Linked DNA regions of Drosophila melanogaster. The protein of the gene in region 1 interacts with the protein of each later gene in a pairwise test. Each region holds a gene or a part of one and is shown in the gene's direction. Other genes may lie near its edges.

Evidence for each region. The genes of interacting proteins can lie anywhere in the genome.
Region 2: the proteins of hig (region 1) and CG34398 interact in a two-hybrid assay, tested with the Drosophila melanogaster proteins (one large-scale study listed by BioGRID).
Region 3: the proteins of hig (region 1) and santa-maria interact in a two-hybrid assay, tested with the Drosophila melanogaster proteins (one large-scale study listed by BioGRID).

Annotation. Positions count from the first base shown.
Region 1 is NT_033778.4:9,243,922-9,249,550, reverse strand, and holds the start of hig (hikaru genki), read left to right. Parts: upstream 1-2,301; 5' UTR 2,302-2,656; coding exon 2,657-2,786; intron 2,787-5,140; exon of another isoform or gene 5,141-5,219; coding exon of another isoform or gene 5,220-5,380; intron 5,381-5,439; coding exon of another isoform or gene 5,440-5,629. Other genes in the region: Cyp4p3 (cytochrome P450 4p3), read right to left, coding at 5,220-5,380, 5,440-5,629.
Region 2 is NT_033779.5:8,897,193-8,902,152, forward strand, and holds the start of CG34398 (uncharacterized protein), read left to right. Parts: upstream 1-1,593; 5' UTR 1,594-1,658; exon of another isoform or gene 1,659-2,542; intron 2,543-4,960.
Region 3 is NT_033779.5:7,444,878-7,452,826, reverse strand, and holds santa-maria (scavenger receptor acting in neural tissue and majority of rhodopsin is absent), read left to right. Parts: upstream 1-1,582; 5' UTR 1,583-1,878; exon of another isoform or gene 1,879-5,139; 5' UTR 5,140-5,179; coding exon 5,180-5,320; intron 5,321-5,525; coding exon 5,526-5,831; intron 5,832-5,891; coding exon 5,892-6,411; intron 6,412-6,473; coding exon 6,474-7,198; 3' UTR 7,199-7,472; downstream 7,473-7,949. Other genes in the region: Gr28a (gustatory receptor 28a), read left to right, coding at 1-107, 167-286; CG5973 (uncharacterized protein), read right to left, coding at 7,854-7,900.

The DNA of each region.
Region 1 (5,629 bases):
GGCGTAATTAGTTGGCCACTTCCGCTTCCACTTCCTTGCCGCCATCGCATCCGTGTCTGTCTGCGCGAGTCCTTTAATGGATTTCGCCTCTGACTGCGCGCGAAAATTCATTAAAACTCGATAATTGCATGACAAGACAAGATCCTGGAATTTGGCCATCGGGTGCGAGTCCTTGTTTATCCCTGGGCTCGCTATCTGGCAAATGGCATTAAGAACCAGTTGATTTACTTGCGATTGTTTTCCGCTTGGTGCACTGAGCAAAATAAGGAGCATAACATATTATCGAAGAGATCGATGTTAAGAAATCTCAGAATATTTATTGTATATTTGAATATCTAAAACCTGAATTACAACTTAAAGAATATATTATTTTGACATATGTTCAAAACAACAAGGAATTTATTTAAAGCAATAATTTCATTAAAACGAAGAGGAGATTATTTCATTTAAAACAATTGGATGTGTAGTTATTAAATCAGCTGCCAACCAAGCTGGCCAAAGTAAATATTCCTTTTGCGTGACTTACTATGCATATTGTATTATTCATTCTACCGAAATGAGGATTCGGTAAGCCATGTATTTGTTGCATCTGCCCATCGCACAGCCAGTAAGTAATTGTCTTGATTAAATAATTTAATCTGCTAAATGCAGGCATTTTAATCTAGAAAAGCTGCGACCATGTCAGGTGCACGCACTTCATTGGCACCCAGGAAATCATTGGTTATTAGCCTTCGGCCCGTCGGCATCGAATTGAGTTGGAATACCAGAGATGTAATTTCAGCCTGCGGTTGCAGGGCAGCAAATTGAATTTTGCTGTAAAGCCGCTCGTTGCCAGGAGGCAGGATAAACATGCTAAACGTATAAATTTTCAGCCTGATTGCATTCCAAAGTTTCGGGCCACTAGGACGGCATGCCAGAAACTATACACAAAAGATAATGCCGCTGCACAATTGGATTGCCAGCTGAGGGGGAGAATGCAGCACACAAACATTCATTTTCCACTCGACTGGAGTTGAGCGCGTTTCGCATTCGCATTCGCATTTGGTATTTCGCATTTCAGCAAAATTTCAATGCGACAGACAAGAGCGACCCAGACGGTATTGTTACGGTTACGCTTTAGGACCAGGACTAACCTGAACCTCCAATGAGTGACATTTATCTTGCGAGGACAACAAGGGGCGTCCTGTCGGAGCATTCATTTGCGTAATTAGTGGCCAAGTGGCATCCGCAACCTGGTTGCCAAATGCCAAATGCCATTTGGCTTCGGTCGCAGAGCAGAGGCCTCAAAATCACCGCAACTGCTGCTTGATTATTGGCCAGGACCAAAAGGAATGGCCAGCAGACAGGCGACGTCAGCACAATTGATAGCATACTTCTCAGGGCAGCGGCAGCTGAGGAGCAGCAAAGGTGAGTCCCTTGCCGAGCACTTGGCTCCACTGCACTCCTTAGCCACAATAGAATGTACCCACTTTGAATTTGTAGTAAACACGGAAGCACACTTTTGAATTTATAAACATATAATTAGCTACAAAAAAATTGCATTTAGTTGCTAAGCTTACCGCCAAGTAAAAATCATAAAATTTAAACTTTAGCAGTTATTGCCAATGTATCCAAAAATGTAATTCTCATATTTATCTCCTACATACAATATTTCAATTAAATAATTATAGTCGTCTAGTTATTGTACCTTATGTGCTCATGTTTTCGGGCTATATAAATCGCAGTTTTAAGCCAATAACATTTTCAGCAACGATTTCCCCTAGTGAATTAGGAAATAGTAATTGATTTTATGCGATTGATTCACTGCTGCACCAGTAAAAAGTATCTGCCTGAACTAAGGAAGTATAATTAAATTAGTTTTAAACTGGAAAGTAACCGAATCAACGTGGCAAGCAAGCGGAAAACTTCATTTGTAGCTGGGAATTGGCCACGTGGGTGGGCGGTGTTCCTTGGTTGGTTCGGGGGGGAGTGGGAAAAAGGAGAGCTACGTGAGAGTTACAAGGGCACGCACGCAGACACACGGGCACAGCGAAAAGCGAAAGCAGCGAGAGAGGAAAATCGGAGATGACGAAAAACAGCAACAGCAACGGCAATGGCAACAGCGACTAAGCAAAACATGGGCCAAACCAAAACAAAAACACACGATTTGCCGGCAAAATGCACGTGACACATCCTTTGGCGAGCTTCGTCGAGTGCGATCCTTCGTCGAGTGCCGAATGCAGCCGATTGCAGCCGAACGAAGCAGAGCCGAAGCTGCGCAGAATCCAACGAGAGGTATAAAAGCGAGACGCTCGCCGCACTCGTGGCATTCGATTGTCGTCGCTCGAGAGGATAGGTGCCCAGCTTCGAAAAGGATAAAACCCCGCAAAGGACTCTAAGTAAAAGTGAAACTTTAAAGCCAAAGAGCACACACACATACACATACACGCGCACACGTTGCATACAGTTTGGCGCGAGTGTGGGTTACTGCTGGCGGTACGCCAGTGTGTGTGTGTGAGTTGGCCAAGTGGATTTCTATTTTTGGCCCATTAAGAAGTCAACTCGTGAAGTGCAGTGGTGTTAAATTCGTTGCTATTTGAAAGGACTCATCGGGTTGCTTAACAAACGAAAACAAAACAACGCCGAAACTCTGGCAATCGCAATCTGATCCTTGGACATGTGGAGCAGGCAGCGAATGCGCCATAAGCCGCTTTGGGCCCTAATATCCTTGACCGTTTTGCTGCTGGTCCTGGACAAAAGCAATGCCAACACGGAGCCCGTCGAGACCAGCACCACATCCGAGCCAGGTGAGTCCTAATTGCCCCGCACACACGTGGGCTCCTCCGTTTGACCTTCACTCACTGGACGGACGAAAAGCGTAAATAAATTATGACGGGCCGCCTCGAACTCGGTCACTTTATTAAATGGCCTTCCACGCATCCATGGAAATCGGACAGTTCACAGCTTCCAGCTCCCAGCGATTATCACACACGCTCGAACAAAAAGGATATAAATCCGGAGTAGAAATGAATTCGTAACCGGGAGGGGAAGCTACAGAGCGCAAGAGCAAATAACTGGCAGCAAATGAAATATTTCACGGCATCTGCGGCACAAAGGCAATCAAAGCGAGCCGAGAGCCCATGGGCAACCTTAATCCCAATCAGAGTCAACAAACAAGCAAGGGCATCGCGAAAACGGGGCACTGCGGAAAATATTTGGCAACAAATTTTTAGGTTGCTTTTCATATTAAATTATAAAAGACATGCTTATAAGGTGCAAGGATAATGGCTTTTATTATGAATCATTCAAAGCAAGACATCATGAAGTCTTTAAAGTTAGTTTTCAAACGCAATCACAAACATTATTTTTCAGTAAGAATAAAGAAAAACATGATTGTCATGTATGACAAATCGAAATAAATTTTCGTATAGCATTCACATAAATATTTAAAATCATTATGTATTTCACACCTTGTAAAATAATTATTTAACCTTTATTTCGAGCGTATTATGATAATTTATTAGGTAAGAATTTAATGATAAATTTAGTTATTTTTGATCAAATATATTTTCAATTACATATGTATATTTATACATTATAAATTATGATTACTGAACATTTTGAACATGTGAAATCATTAATAAGGCGCAAACTTAATGCATACTTTTGATTGTTAGACCTTTGCTCCTAAATCTCAACGAAACTTAATTCCGCTGGCAGTCACCAATAATTTCTCTCAGTGCACTAGGGGAAGGGGAGCTGAAAGGTAGCTCGGGCAAGCGGCAATTGCACGAAAGTCCGTAATGAAGTATGGCAGGCAGGCCGTCCGAGGCTGGTAATAGAAATTAATAGCGTCATGTGTGAGTTTTGCGAAAGGGAAGGAAGACTTTGGACGGGGGAATGGGTGGATGTGGGGTACAAGGGACAAGGGAAGTGGGAAAAAGGATACAGGGGAAGTGTAAAGTGCCCGACAGCGACACGCAGATGCGCATAAAGTAATTAATTCACTCTGCCTCCATCGGCATCGCCATCGCCATCGCCATCCCTCCAGTCGGTTGCCTTCTAATTTCCCCTGGCAAATCGACAGGACCAGCTGTTGAGCTGCTGAGCTTTTGGGGTTTCGTCCTTCAGTCAGGCAAAAGTGCGTCGCACTTATCTTCTTTTTTTTTCTTTTGTGGCGGATATTGCGACTTCTTATTTCGCCTTTTGGTGCGCAGTTTGGCAGTCAGTCAGGTGAGAGGGGTGCCGATTCTTAGATTTTCTGAGATCCAAACGTTCGCTTGACACATGTGAAAGCGAGGGAAATTTAATTTACATGACTCACAAATGGAATCCATTTAATGTTGACTTATGGCGACGAAGCACTAGCGCACAGAGCACTAATGAAATATGCAGTAGCCGAGTAGCAGCTAAAACCAGAGCTGCCTTTCACCCATTTCCATGTGCTGTCCCATAAATCCTGGGTCCCCAGGATGGATGATGATGTTGGAACGAGTTGGGCGCACACTAAAAAATATGCGTTTACGATAATTATTTTCAATAGTAGAGTAGTAGTAAGCCACATATAAAAGAGAAGCTAACTAAAAATATCCCTTCGAAACATGATATAAATATTTCATAAAATAAATAGGAAGCCAAAGATAGATGGAACTTATTTCAGTGCACCACACACAGTGCATTTTGCGAGCCCATGGTCACCCATGTCTTTTTGCCACATTTTATGTGCTTAGAACAAAGCTGAGTCTGCATTATGCATGCAAATGGTATAACTGAGTAACGAACTGTCAAAATCGCAGTTAAAGCAAAAAGGAGTCGTTGGGAAAGGGATGTAGCCTCGGCAGGAGGAGGAAAACCAAATGACAAAAAGTCGCCAGCGCATTATGCATTTGCATTCCCATATATGTGAGCTAAAGGACAGAGATTACTTGACTTTTCCTGGGCTGCCTCAAAAATAATAGGAGGGGTAGGAAATGACAGGGAGCTCCCACTGTGTGGGAAATGGGAGTTGGAATTGTAATAGCTGCTGGAAAAGAAGAAGAGAAGTGCTTCTACCCGCCAGGGCATGAATGATTTATAGGGCGGCAGCTGTCGAGATGCCAACGATTATCGGCCATAAGCTAGTCACAGGACATTTTTGCACCAAGAGAAAGAAGAAAGGAGTCTTTGGATGAAACTATTGTTCACTGTGCACTTTATGACTAACAGAGTTCCGTGAACAATTCCATTCCGTTAAAGCTGCCTCATTTTCTTCTCACGAGCTTCACGTGAATCTGGTTCTTGGTCCGCAGTGTTAGTCCAGTTTGAAAAACAATAGTTTTCGGATCGATTTCTGGTAGAATTTGGAACTGCTTCAGTAGGGCCACCATTAGGGTTTTCATCTCCTGCATGGCAAATTTTTGACCTACAAAGAAAATGATATGTTTATCCAATCATTCCATGAGAGTAAGCAATATTACATACCTATGCAATTCCTCTGACCAGCACTGAATGGAATATATGCGTAGGTGTGACGATTCTGCGAGTTTTCGGGCAGAAATCTCTCCGGGCGAAACTCTTCGGGAGAATCCCAGTACTCGGGATTGCGATGGATGTCGAAGACATGGACAAAAATCTGGGAGCCCTTTGGCAAGATGAGACCGTTGCTCAGCTC
Region 2 (4,960 bases), on another chromosome or scaffold:
CTTAAGCCCAAATTTCGCGGCATGTAACACTTCCCATTTTCAGCAGCTAAGATTTACTATTGTATAATCCCTATGTAAAGAAATGATTGAGGGCCGAAAATGGAACACTAAAACTGTATCAGGCACAGACAAAAATAACACCTTCAAATGCAATTTGTAGACCCAACGACGACAGCTCACAACTCGTGCCATAACTTTCAAATGCGATTTGTTCAAAAATTTGTTCCAGAAAGAAGTGGAGGAAGAGAACGGCGTGACACCAGTTGGCCAGGCTACCAGCAAGCGGACCAACCAACGAGTGCAACCAATTCGCGGATCTGAATAAGTGCAACTCCAAGTCCAAATCCAATTTCAATTGCATTGCGAATGCGGCAGCCAAAGACACGTTTTTGAACTATACGACCCCGAAAGGGTCAAGTGGCGCGTGTAGCGAAAGCCATGGCTAAAACCCCAAACCGCTGCCAGCAGTAGCCGATCCAACTTGATTTTATGGCTAACGTATACATGGCCACCCACTTAAAGGGTTTTCCAAACGAAGGAGAACCGATCTCCGAGCCGAGCATTCGATCTTCATGCCCCAGTGCGTGGCGAAACCTTACTTGCGTCTGAACTTGACATGCATATGTACGCGTAGATAGATACATATAGTCTCAAACCCCCCGATCTCCGATTCCCAAGCCGATCATGATTAACCGGCTGGTGCGTGTTGCATGAGTGCTGTAGGTAGGGTAGTAATCAGTCTAGACTGCATTGGGCTCATCCCACGTTCAGCATTGAGATATGTTCGCATATCGAAAGTGTGCTGTTCCAATTAATGGCTTCATTTGCTCACCCAATCGGACCCAATGACACCTTGAGGCTGAAAACAATAAATGTTTAATTAGCCCGAGTCACAAGCATCGTAAAAATATTTATAATAAAGTCCAATTTTGGTGCAAGACCCATAAAGTCTGGTTCAATGGCACACTCGTTACGTAACGTAAGCAGCCTTTACGTTACGTTAAAAACGCCGGTTGTCTGACAAGCAAAAGCCGGGTGAAAAGAGTGAGTTGGTAAGAGAGCGGTGAGTAGGGTTGTCACAGCTCGCAAAGAAACTTAAATTATAAAAAATAAAAATTTAAGTAAAAATTTACATTACAAGCACTGGGTGTTTTCAAGGTTACCTTTTGACTTGACAAAACAAGGTGCAGTTGCGATAAGATATGATATCATTTGCTAACGTTTAACTTATAGATATCATTCAATTGTTATTAACTTTCATTGTTCAGCTCCTTTTCGAGATTGAGACAATAAATCACCATTAACCACAATGAGTTAAGCAGAGTGTGTAGGTATGGTTATTGTAAGCCATAATAAATACATTTATCCCCCTGCGAAAAAAGTGGAACTAAGCCAAAGAGCGGCTTTGACCAGGTTCTCTTTTTGTATCTTTGTATCGGGCCTAGCAAATCTCTTTCCAACAGAGAGCCGCTCCCAACGAGGCTGACATCATCGAGAGGCCCAGTCTCCTCCGGACCTGGCCAAGTTGAAAAACTATAGCCAGATTGTCGGTTTGTCGGGTATTTAATGCGCGGTGCGAGCGCGAAACTCTTTTAGTACAGCGTTGGCGTGCAAGACAGACGGTTCGGTTTCTGGGAAGCTTCGAAGCCTCAAAACGAGTTCGTTATAAAGCAAATATTAATGTGTATATAGCTGTGTGTGCCAGCAGACACTTTATGAACACACACACACACACTTTTCTGTGCCGAAAACAAAAGTATACAAATAATCTAGAAACAAAACACGAGTAAACATTAAACAGTGCTTGAATGTTGTGACTTCGAGTGAAGCCAAGCGTTGAGTGTGAAATGCAAAACGGGCAAATTCAAGACCCCCAGAGATCACAAAGTTCGTCTCAAAGACTGAGCAGCCCGAGTCCCGAAAACAATTGCAAAGAAAGTGAAAGATCAGAGACAGAAAAGGAAAAGGAAAAGTCCGAGAAAGGGAAAGGTTGTGGCTACTCGAGTTGTCTTTTCAGATGCTCCGTCAGGTGCATCGAGATTAGAAGCCTCCGGTTACCATTTATTCCCCTGAAAGCAAACAGCTGTTGCACTCAGACAATCGCCCACTGATCATTGAAACTTTTTTGCCAGAAAACAAGCATTTTCAATAATTTTTGTCCAATGCCTGGCTGGCTGACTATGCGTTTTTCGTATTCATCGAGAGCTGACAAAAATTATTAAAAATACAAAAACAAAAAAAATCGCGTATACCACGCGTTTTTTTTTTTTATTAAGTCGATTGATTCATTGAGCCCCTTGTCCGTGTGCCTTTGTGTGTGTGTGGTGTGTGCCCGTGCGTATGTGAGTATTGGTGAATACAATCAACGGAGCACGGAGAAAAAAAGGAAAAAAGCGGCCAAGCGACATTGATGCCAATCGCCAGTGCATTTGTTGTTGCTGTTTGCATCGGACCAGAATATAATGAAATAAAGCCAAATAAAATATAAGCTAAAACGCCTTCAGTGGACTTCACGCTGAAAAAAAAGATATCAAACGGACAGGTACGTGCAATTCGTCTCATTTTGATTTATTTCAATTGAACCCATAGCCATAAATTGTCATGTATACTTTGCTAGACTTGCTAGGCATTAAAACTCACATGCATATTATTTTTGAATTTTCGGTGAGAGGAGCTAGTACCTATGATAAATTGCTGCTAGAAAATCAAACAGCTAATGAGAAAATAACTATAGCTGATGATGCAATATATAACAGTCAGAAAATTGTGTAAAATTTAGATATTCACCATAAACATGACATATCAATAGCTTGATTTAGCTCGATGATAAATTAAAACAAATAAACACATTTACACAGTACTATAATAAATAGTCATATTTTAGCTAAGGTCATTGACTAGAGCATATTGCTTCGAATTGCTGTCCATTTATTTCTTATTCAAACCTAAAAAACATTGCAAATGAAAGAAATACATTCTCTTTTATGCTCGAAAACCATTCCCATAATTATAATAATGATTTCCGAAGTCATTTCGCCCTGCTCCATTTTAAAGCATCCAACAATAGAAGAGAACATTCTTATACTTTCCTTTGTCTGATTTATAAAGTTATTTTTCTCAGTTAATTATTTGGCTTGCCATGATATTTTGTTTACTCCGAAGCTTGCCAATTTATCTTACTACCACCTCCACCCAACTCATCAGCGATCATTGGGAAACCAAATCACCCTATCCATATATCATGAATCATTAATATATTTTTGAACAATTAGGGTTCAATGATTCTAGTGCTGGGCATGAGTTCCCAGATCGCCCATTAGTCATCAGAATGTCCAGACCAGATCGGAGTATCCCACTCAAGCCATATCGGGATAGTTGTCTGGTTTTTTTTTTTATTTTTTACACATTTATTTATACAAGTTATTCAATACTACGGTTTCTTTTCATGTGGACCGAAACTTAGTTATATTTATGACTATATCCAGTGATTTCGGGGACTACAATTGTCGCATTAGGAACTTGTGGCGTGCATTAGTGCAAATTACCATTGGGCTCAAAAGGTGTTGGCCCCAATTGTCACCTCAGAAAGATATTGAAACGGAAAACTGGGTGTGGGACTCGCAGCTTATGGCATATTGCATTACTTCGTCAAAAAACTGCGATAATACTCGATTTCTTTACCTCTACATGGTATTTTATATGTATTTTTATGGGCACGCGCCTGTTGCTCGTTTTATCGGTCGAGCTGAATGTCAAAGTTAGAACTTGAGTTGCTCATGGCAGCCGAAGTTGACATTAAGACCATTTCAACACCACAGCGAGAGACTTTTTAATCAAGCTTAAGCTATCCATGGTTTATAGAAAATAAAAAACGATTACTCCAGCCGATTCACAATTGAATGGATTGCAAATTAGTGTAGCTCCTCACGTTTATTGTCGCATTTGGTATGCCAAAATTGCAACTGACACCTTGATTTACACACCCTTTTTGACCGAAAAAGGTTTAATGGTGTACGCGGTCCAAAATTCATCTTTTGTGGAATTTCGCTTTGTATTCTCAATAATCATTAATGATATTTTTGACTCTTTCGAACGAAATATATTTCTATTGTTATTTTTAAAATAAATCCAAAAAACACATAATTTAAAAAACAAAGCATTTTGTTTTCATAATTATTAGCTGTGCCTTGTATGGCTGAGGCATAAATAAAATTCTTTATAAATCATTTTCTAGCTAATGTTTCCAATGAACTTTGCCAGGTCGTTTGCAATTCGTTTGCATTTCGCATCCTATTATTTATAGTTGCCATTAACTTTTCGGGTTTGAACAGGATGTTCAAATGTGATTCATAGAAAATATGGAATCAAAGCTGGTCTCAAGGTCGATGATGAGCTCAGCAGGCTCTTGGTTAGGAGCATACATTTATTGTGAATGTTTTCTAAGTTTGCCATTTTTCAGTCCTATAGTTTTTCATCATCGCCAGCCATAATTGAACCATAAACACCTTAAAACATGCTACTATACTTAAAATAATGCAGCACCCCACACATCGTGGTGGTGACCCACCCATCACAACTGGCAAACGACCCACACGACATCGATTGTTTCGCTTCATTTTTCATTTTTTTTTCCAAGACAATGCCAAATCATTGAGCAGCCAAAAAACTGCAGCAAACAAACACCTCCGCTAAAAACAGACAGCGACCACGATCCACTGAACAGTGAACAGTTAACGGTGGGGCCCAGCCTATAGACGTGTTTAATCAATTTAAATTACCTTCAATTAGGCTCTTTGTTCGCGGTCCCGTGGACATTGCGAAAAGTCTTCAGTTCGGCATCAGCATCTGCATAAATGAAATGCAAATGAGGAAATGCCACTAATTTGTTTAGATTCCCCGGGTCTAAAATGGATGCATGCATATCTAACTTCAGCATTGGCCAATGGCTGGCAATTAAACG
Region 3 (7,949 bases), on another chromosome or scaffold:
CAGAACTCAGAGATCGACTTTTCCGTCTGTCCTTGCAGCTGTCGCATCGGAAGGTCCTTTTCACAGCCGCAGGACTTTTTCGTCTGGATCGCACACTGATTTTTACGGTGAACTAATGTTGAAAATAATTAAATATTTTATTTATTTAAGTGGTTAATTTTTGCAGATTACTGGTGCTGCCACGTGCTACCTCATTATCCTAATTCAGTTTCGATTCACACATCACATGGACGACACCAGCTCCAATTCAACAAATAATTTACATTCCATTCATCTCGGCGATTGATTAAAATTATATATACACATTAATCAATTAAATTTAAACATAAAGTGTCCTAACGTACAGATGAAAAATAAATTAAAGTTTTCCAGCTCGCAGTAAATTACATTTTTTATCCGTATTTTTTAAGTTATGATATAATATTTAAAGCAAGTAAACATTTCAATTGCACTTAATCAGTACGTTACGTATTCACGTAACGTAAGCCAATCGACAACAACAAGCTGGTTGCTACGTCACTGACTGTGTTGCTGGCTGACATGAGCTGCTTGAATTTCACTAATGAATTCAAATGGATAATGCTGGCCGAGACCCATTTCGAAGCTAAGGGCTGGCTTGACCCACTTCTGCTTGCTCCACTTCACAACATTGCAACATAATCTGCAGCGGTAACTGACTTTTGGCCACAACTGATAGCTAATCCCAGTTAGCACGCCATGTGAAAGGAGGCAAAAGACTAATCCAATAAGGAAGCCAGCCTGAATACGCACTGAAGCAATGACATTTTATTGTTTTATTGCCTCAGACTGCAATCCATGGGTGTTTTCTATGCCATTTGCTGGGGAGTTGTGCCCCTATGATAGCGAAATAAAACAAAAAAACAGTTGAAACTTTGCTCTGATCGCTTGTCGATTTTCGCAGCTTACAAGTGTGTGGGGTTAGTCGTGAATGTTCGCTGTTCACCCAGTGCTAATCATCACGATTAGCCGCATTGATAAGGCTTCGACAATTTGTTATCAATTCGGATTTCTACTTTACGATTTGTTTACTTTTCCACAAGCCACCCGATTCGTATGCGAAAATTCGCAGTTTTATGAAATCTAAGTGCATAGGAATTTCTTTCGCTGATTGTGATTTTTTGAAATGTGACCCAGTTATATTTGCTATTCGACTGAACAATAGAAAATATGTTGACTCTTTCAGTTCATTCATTTCATTTTTATATCATTTGATATTTATTAGATGTAAATATTTAAAAAATATATATATAAGAAACTAAAATATTTGTAAACGTATTTAACAAAGCAAATGGTTCAATTTAGATTATTTCCAAAAATTTATATAAAGATGGTGACACTGTTGTTTCTGACTACTTCTTCCCTTGGATGCATTCTACAGTTTTAAAGTCGTACTCGCGTTTCAGATTGTATATTGTTTAATTCAAAATTCAATGGCACAACTATGAAAAGCCCAAAGCGCAAATTAACCCAAACACCCACTCGCACACACACATACACACCGTTGCTCGGATACTCGGAGCTCTTCTCAAGCCCAATTCCATATACATTTCCATTTCCATGTGCCGCACTTGACTGACATTCATCGGCCGCCGAGACCGCTCCGCTCTGCTCGCGGTCCGTTCGCTGAGAGTCCGCCGCACAGTCGCATCGAAGCCGCCGGGCGAAGCGGTACCATTTTACGGCATTTCCCAGGGACTCGTGTCCACTTTTCCGGCCTCTGTGCAAAGAAATCATCCACGTGCTCAAGCGTTCTGTCCACATCCTTATCGAATTTCAATTTCCTCGCAAGGAAAATCAAAACGTAAAAAAAAAACCGAGGAGCCTGTGATTTGTTTCTATTTAGCAAATAAAAGTCAAGTGAGTGCCTTTAAAAGAAAATAAAGGAAATTTGGAAAGACAAAAGAAAACTCCTTTCGCAATATCACGTAATTTCTTAGCGCTTCCTGCTTTGTTAACACATTACGTTTTGGCTTGATTTGGCTTAATCGCCGGCAGACTTATTAAGATTACAGGTCATTAAATGAAATTAACTCGACAAGAATGAAAAATAGTCGCCAGACAGAAAACCAAATATATATGTATGTACAGTGGCAATCTATATTATACATTCTTTTTGTGTTTATACTGGCTTTGTGTGTCGTCTCCCTTTTGAAGAAATAAGAGTGCCGGAATGCAAAACAAAGGGCTTCCAGCTTGGACTACGAGGCGACCTGTTGATTGTGCGATTAATGGTCTAAAATTAGTCCCAGGGAAAACAGCTGCTCAGGAAAATATTAAGCATGCGCCCCGTTGACGAATTATGTTTTGTAGCTTGTATTTTTACATAAAACGAAATTGGGCGATGATAAATTATAATGAAAAAATAAAAAAATCTAGTATATGTTTTGGAATTTTCTGCAAAAGAACGGCAGCTGATCTTATTTGGTATATAAATAAAAAACAAAACAGTGGTGTACAAAACACATTGCGTATGCGACCTGTTAACCATTTAAAGTTCAAGATAATTAAATATCAACTTGCTCCCAACTAATTGCAGTTGCGTGTGCCTTTATAAGATAATAAATATCTGAAAAACAAATAATGTAAATACTCTAATAGAAAACCAACGAATGTCTTAAAAATTGCAAATTAAAATATTTATTTAAATTTTCTTTATTGTATGCAATAAAGAGCCAAAGAAACTTCACATTCATTTTCCAGCTATTCGCTAATTGAATAATCAATGCCCAGATTGGCGAATCCTCAATAAATACAGCTGTTCGTTGGCAAATTACTCATGGGACCCGTTTAAATATAGTTCAAGATAATCGAAACTAGCCCCTAATAGCATGTTCATTAAAGTTTCGTTTAAGAATTCAACTCATGCTGGACAATTAAAGTCAAATCAATTAATCAATTCACAATGAATTAATTAAAATCTCAAAGGGCTTAAACAACTTTAGTTAATACTGAAATCTTGGCTACGTAAAAGTGGCATTTAAAGAAATTTTTTGATTTAAAGTTCATTAAAAAGAAACAAAATAACTTTCTGCAGTTCAGGGACCTTTAAAAGTACCAAGCCTATTTACGGTTTAGCCTTTCGCTCTTTATTTATAGTTGTTGGCTTTTTTTTAAATCGTCGTGTGTATTTTCGTACTTGAAGGCTGCGAAAACTCAATTACATGCCGATAGCTCGTTATCAAAAAATACTCGCCCAAGCATATGTGAATTTGCGAACTGCGTCAAATCTGTAAGTTGCGGTTTATCTCAATGGCAGCCTTTGTGGTTAAATGGGGTTGAAAAACATCAGGAAAAACTGAGAAGGTGTTGACTTGTCTCACATCCAGTAGACGATCTTAAAGTATCGGGTTTACTGCGTCTGACTTAGTACTTAGAATTTCCGTTTCATATCAAGTGCACTTGCACTCAGGAAGTTAACGCCAAAAAGGCAGATAATTCTTGCTAGAATGTTTCAGAATGCATTCACTTTCGATGTGGCATCACTTCAGAGTTCAGTGTTCTCGGTGCATTTGCATAGAATATGAATAAAGCGTTCGGAGCATTCATAAAAATGTTAATATAGAAGATCAAGAACCAGAGAGTATGACAAGAGCATGCCTAATTTAATAATGAATCAAATATACCGGTCACTAAAATTTAAGCTTAATTAAACGCAATTATTCAGTGTTGCGGCTTCGAGCTTCAAGAGCGAATATCAAAGAACTGCACTGAAAAAAAAACGTATCTTGCTATAAATATTTTCTCACAAAAAGAGATATTCCTGCTAAAATCTCTTAGATTTCCATTCAAAATCTATCCTCGTTATGTGCGGTATTGCTCTTGATCTAATTGAATTAAGCGAAAAATGCGGGATGAACTCTACGTGATGCACCTGTCCAACGTCCATTTCAATTAAAACTCACTTCAGATTAATTGTGAAGACAATAAAAAGGCGCCGACAAATGCTCGACAGCTATTCATCATTCAAAAGACATAATCATATCAATTTACCAGACACCAACCAGAACACAACTGACACGCTCCCAAATAAGCATATATATATGTATATATGTGTATATATATATATAGATTCCTACTCGTATTCATGTGCAATAACGCAAAGTGTCAAAGACCCAACCATAGCTCACTGCGGGGTCAATTGATAGACTCAATTATGACGATATATCACAGAGATGCGAACCTGTGGCATATGTACGTACATATGCAATATTTATGCTCAAGTGATACATAGTGTTTGGTGATGGGAACTCTGGGCAGATTGGTCAAATAATTGCCAGAGGATGGATTCCCGATAAGCGATAAGTGCAGTGCAGTTCAATTTCCTCAATTGTCTGTGGCTTCCTCATGGGTCTGTTTACCTAAGAGTTCAGAATCCGCTTATCGGACCACAGTGAATGCCCCATATAGGAAAATTCGCCTACCGAATGCGATCATAAAATATTTTATCCACATTCATGCATGTTATTCGTAAACGAAATGGATAATTACACGTATTGCTTGCAATGCAGCTTCAAACTATCATAACTAATTAAAACACATCATCGTTGAGTGTCGGGGGAAGCTTTGTAATTATCACCACTGATAGGGGATTCGACTATAGTTCTGTATATATGTACACATATACTTACCGGACTTAGTATATTCTACATGAGTGTAAACAGCAATTGAAAGTCACGCTTTGCTTAAATTGATTCAATTATATTGATAAAAATAGACGCTATGGGAATTCGTCACTCAATAAAATGCTGCGCTTTTTGCATTTTATTTGTATTCAATTCTTTGTTGATTTCTTTGTTCGCCATACTTATATTAATATGTGACTTGATGCATCTGTTAATAAGAGATTTGATTCTACATTTTTTTTATTCTTTAACTAGCACTGCCTGAAAGTAGGCAACATGAACATGAGTTCACAAAATAATATTGTGTAAAGTTATATTTTAAATTATTGTATTATGATTTGTTCATAATGATTTTATAATAGAAAACTTATCAGTACATTCTCAACTTGCACTACATTTATGAGTTCTTTCATTTGATCCATTTTTATATGTTGGCAAATAGACTATCAATTTATCCATTTTCATTGATGTTTCAATGACTTGCATATCATTACAGCCACCATTAGGTATCCACACACCATCGCCCAGCGTGAGCCATGCCAACACAAAACAGCGCAATGTGGGGCCAAAAAAGTAATCGCAAATTAATTATCGGCATTTTCGGCTTTTGCCTGGGACTATTTGGCATATTGTGCGGCATGTTCTGGGTGGACCTGTTCGATTGGATCATGCACAAGGTAATCCCAGTCATTGACAGAGGTTCAGTTAAGTTCATTTCACTTCACTCCAGTGTTAGCCCGGCCAGCTGCATTCGATTAGTGGCTAAAGCCAATTGAAAGTCAAAAGAAAAACAGCCGCCTCTCAATTGGCGCGAGTCAAAGATCGAGGAAAACTCGTTGAGATTTTCAATTAATACCAATTGCGGCTTCTGTTCTTCGACAGGAAATGGCTCTGGCCCCCGACACACGTGTCTATGAAAATTGGAAGAGTCCGCCAATTGATCTCAGTCTGGACATCTACCTGTACAACTGGACGAATCCGGAGGATTTCGGCAACCTTTCCACAAAGCCCATTCTGGAGCAGGTGGGTCCTTATCGTTTTATCGAGCGACCCGATAAGGTGGACATTCACTGGCATCCAGAAAATGCATCCGTCACTTATCGCAGGCGCAGCTTGTTCTACTTTGATGCGGCGGGCAGTAATGGCAGCCTGGACGATGAGATTACCACGCTTAATGCAGTGGCTCTGGTAAGTATCCTATTCCCTTTTATTACATAATATAACTATAACTATACATTTCCATTTCAGTCTGCAGCCGCCACAGCCAAATATTGGCCACCAGTTAAGCGCTCCCTTGTCGATGTGGGACTAAAGATGTACGGTGCCGAGATGTCTGTCCAAAAATCGATCGATGAGCTGCTCTTCACCGGTTACAATGACGCAATGATCGACGTGGCCATGGCCATGCCCATTTTTGGTGATGAGGTGAAGGTTCCATTCGATAAGTTCGGTTGGTTCTATACGCGCAATGGAAGTGCCGATCTTACCGGAGTTTTTAATGTCTTCACTGGCGCCGATCAACTGGCCAAACTGGGTCAGATGCACTCGTGGAATTACCAGGAGAACACTGGATTCTTTGATTCCTATTGCGGTATGACCAATGGATCCGCCGGGGAGTTCCAGCCACAGCATCTGAAGCCCGGCGATAGTGTTGGTCTATTTACGCCCGATATGTGCCGAACTATTCCGCTGGATTATGTGGAAACTGTGGATATTGAAGGACTGGAAGGTTATAAATTCTCAGGCGGACCACGATCTGTAGATAATGGTGAGTCTTGATAAGAATTGATTAATTGTGAGTACCCATTCTATTAGAGATTTATATTTCAGGCACCCAGTATCCTGAGAACCTTTGTTTTTGTGGTGGCCAATGTGTTCCGTCGGGTGTGATGAACATCAGTTCCTGTCGCTTTGGATCTCCTGTTTTTATGTCCTATCCACACTTTTTCAACGCCGATCCTTACTACCCAGATCAGGTAGAGGGCTTGAGTCCTAACCAGAAGGATCACGAGTTTTATATGGTTGTGCAGCCAAGTACTGGTATTCCCCTGGAGGTGGCTGCCCGATTTCAAGTGAATATGCTCGTGGAGCCAATCCAAGGCATTAGCTTATACACTGGAATACCAAGGATATTTTTCCCACTCGTATGGTTCGAACAGAAAGTAAGAATCACTCCAGATATGGCAGATCAACTGAAGGTGCTGCCCATTGTCATGCTCTCCGGACATATATTCGCCGGAATTTGCTTGATCGTAGGCATAACTCTACTCTGCTGGACTCCGGTTCAGATTCTATTGGCTTCCTGTCGAAATCGTAGATACGATCTGAGGACCAAAACCAAAACGAATGGCCAGTATAAGAGTCGCTCTCAATTCTCCAGTGCTGAGGAACTGAAGTCCAAGGCCTCCACTTTGGTGTGCGAAAAGAGTGTCAAAGGATCTCCGGACAGTTCTCCGCTCCTCGAAAAAGGCCGTAAGCCAACCATTATTAAATCCCAGACGGGTGAAAGTGTGGCCACTGCATCCACAGCCATCAGCGACAATAAGCAGGATTGAACAGAACCGCCACATTCACGCCATTTAGATAGTTAAGCCGTCCTAGTGCTTTAGTCGTAGCTCATAGTTTAGTGACACTCTAAAACACCCAACTGAAAATTGCAAGCATTCCCGTGCCTATGCCAAAGATTAGATAGCCTTCGAAGTCGAAACGTCTGGTGGACTTCGCTTAGCTAACGAATACTCTTTTTACATTCCTTAGTTATTAGATATGTTTTGTATTAAAATGATTTCTTGACCCATGGCTTTCGTGTCAAATAAAATCTTCAACTACAAAGGAAATTATCATTTTAGTAGGTTAAGTGGGTAAGATTGCACATAACTATTTTTATTTCATTACAGCTCACAACGTTTGTTTTGAATTTTAACAACATTTTTTTCATCTTTATTAGTTCAATAACAATTATACAAAATATATAGTATATATGGTATCCACTTTAATGCCTAGCTCATGAGCTTGTATCGTGATCATTTTAATTATTGTGAATAATTTTCTTAACCTTACATTTAAAGGGCAAAGAGACTATTACTTAACGTACGACAATATTTGCAATATCACAAATGACCCAACTTAAGTGACTAAAATACGAATCGAAAGGGGGAAGGGAGGATTGTGCGGATTTGGGGGGTTAGTTTTGGACTATTCCTTGTACTATTACTTCTTCATCTTATACCCCTCAGTATACCCATAGCTGTCAGCCACTAAAAAAAAAAAAAGTTAAGTTTATTAGTATATAAAGCCTGATATTGC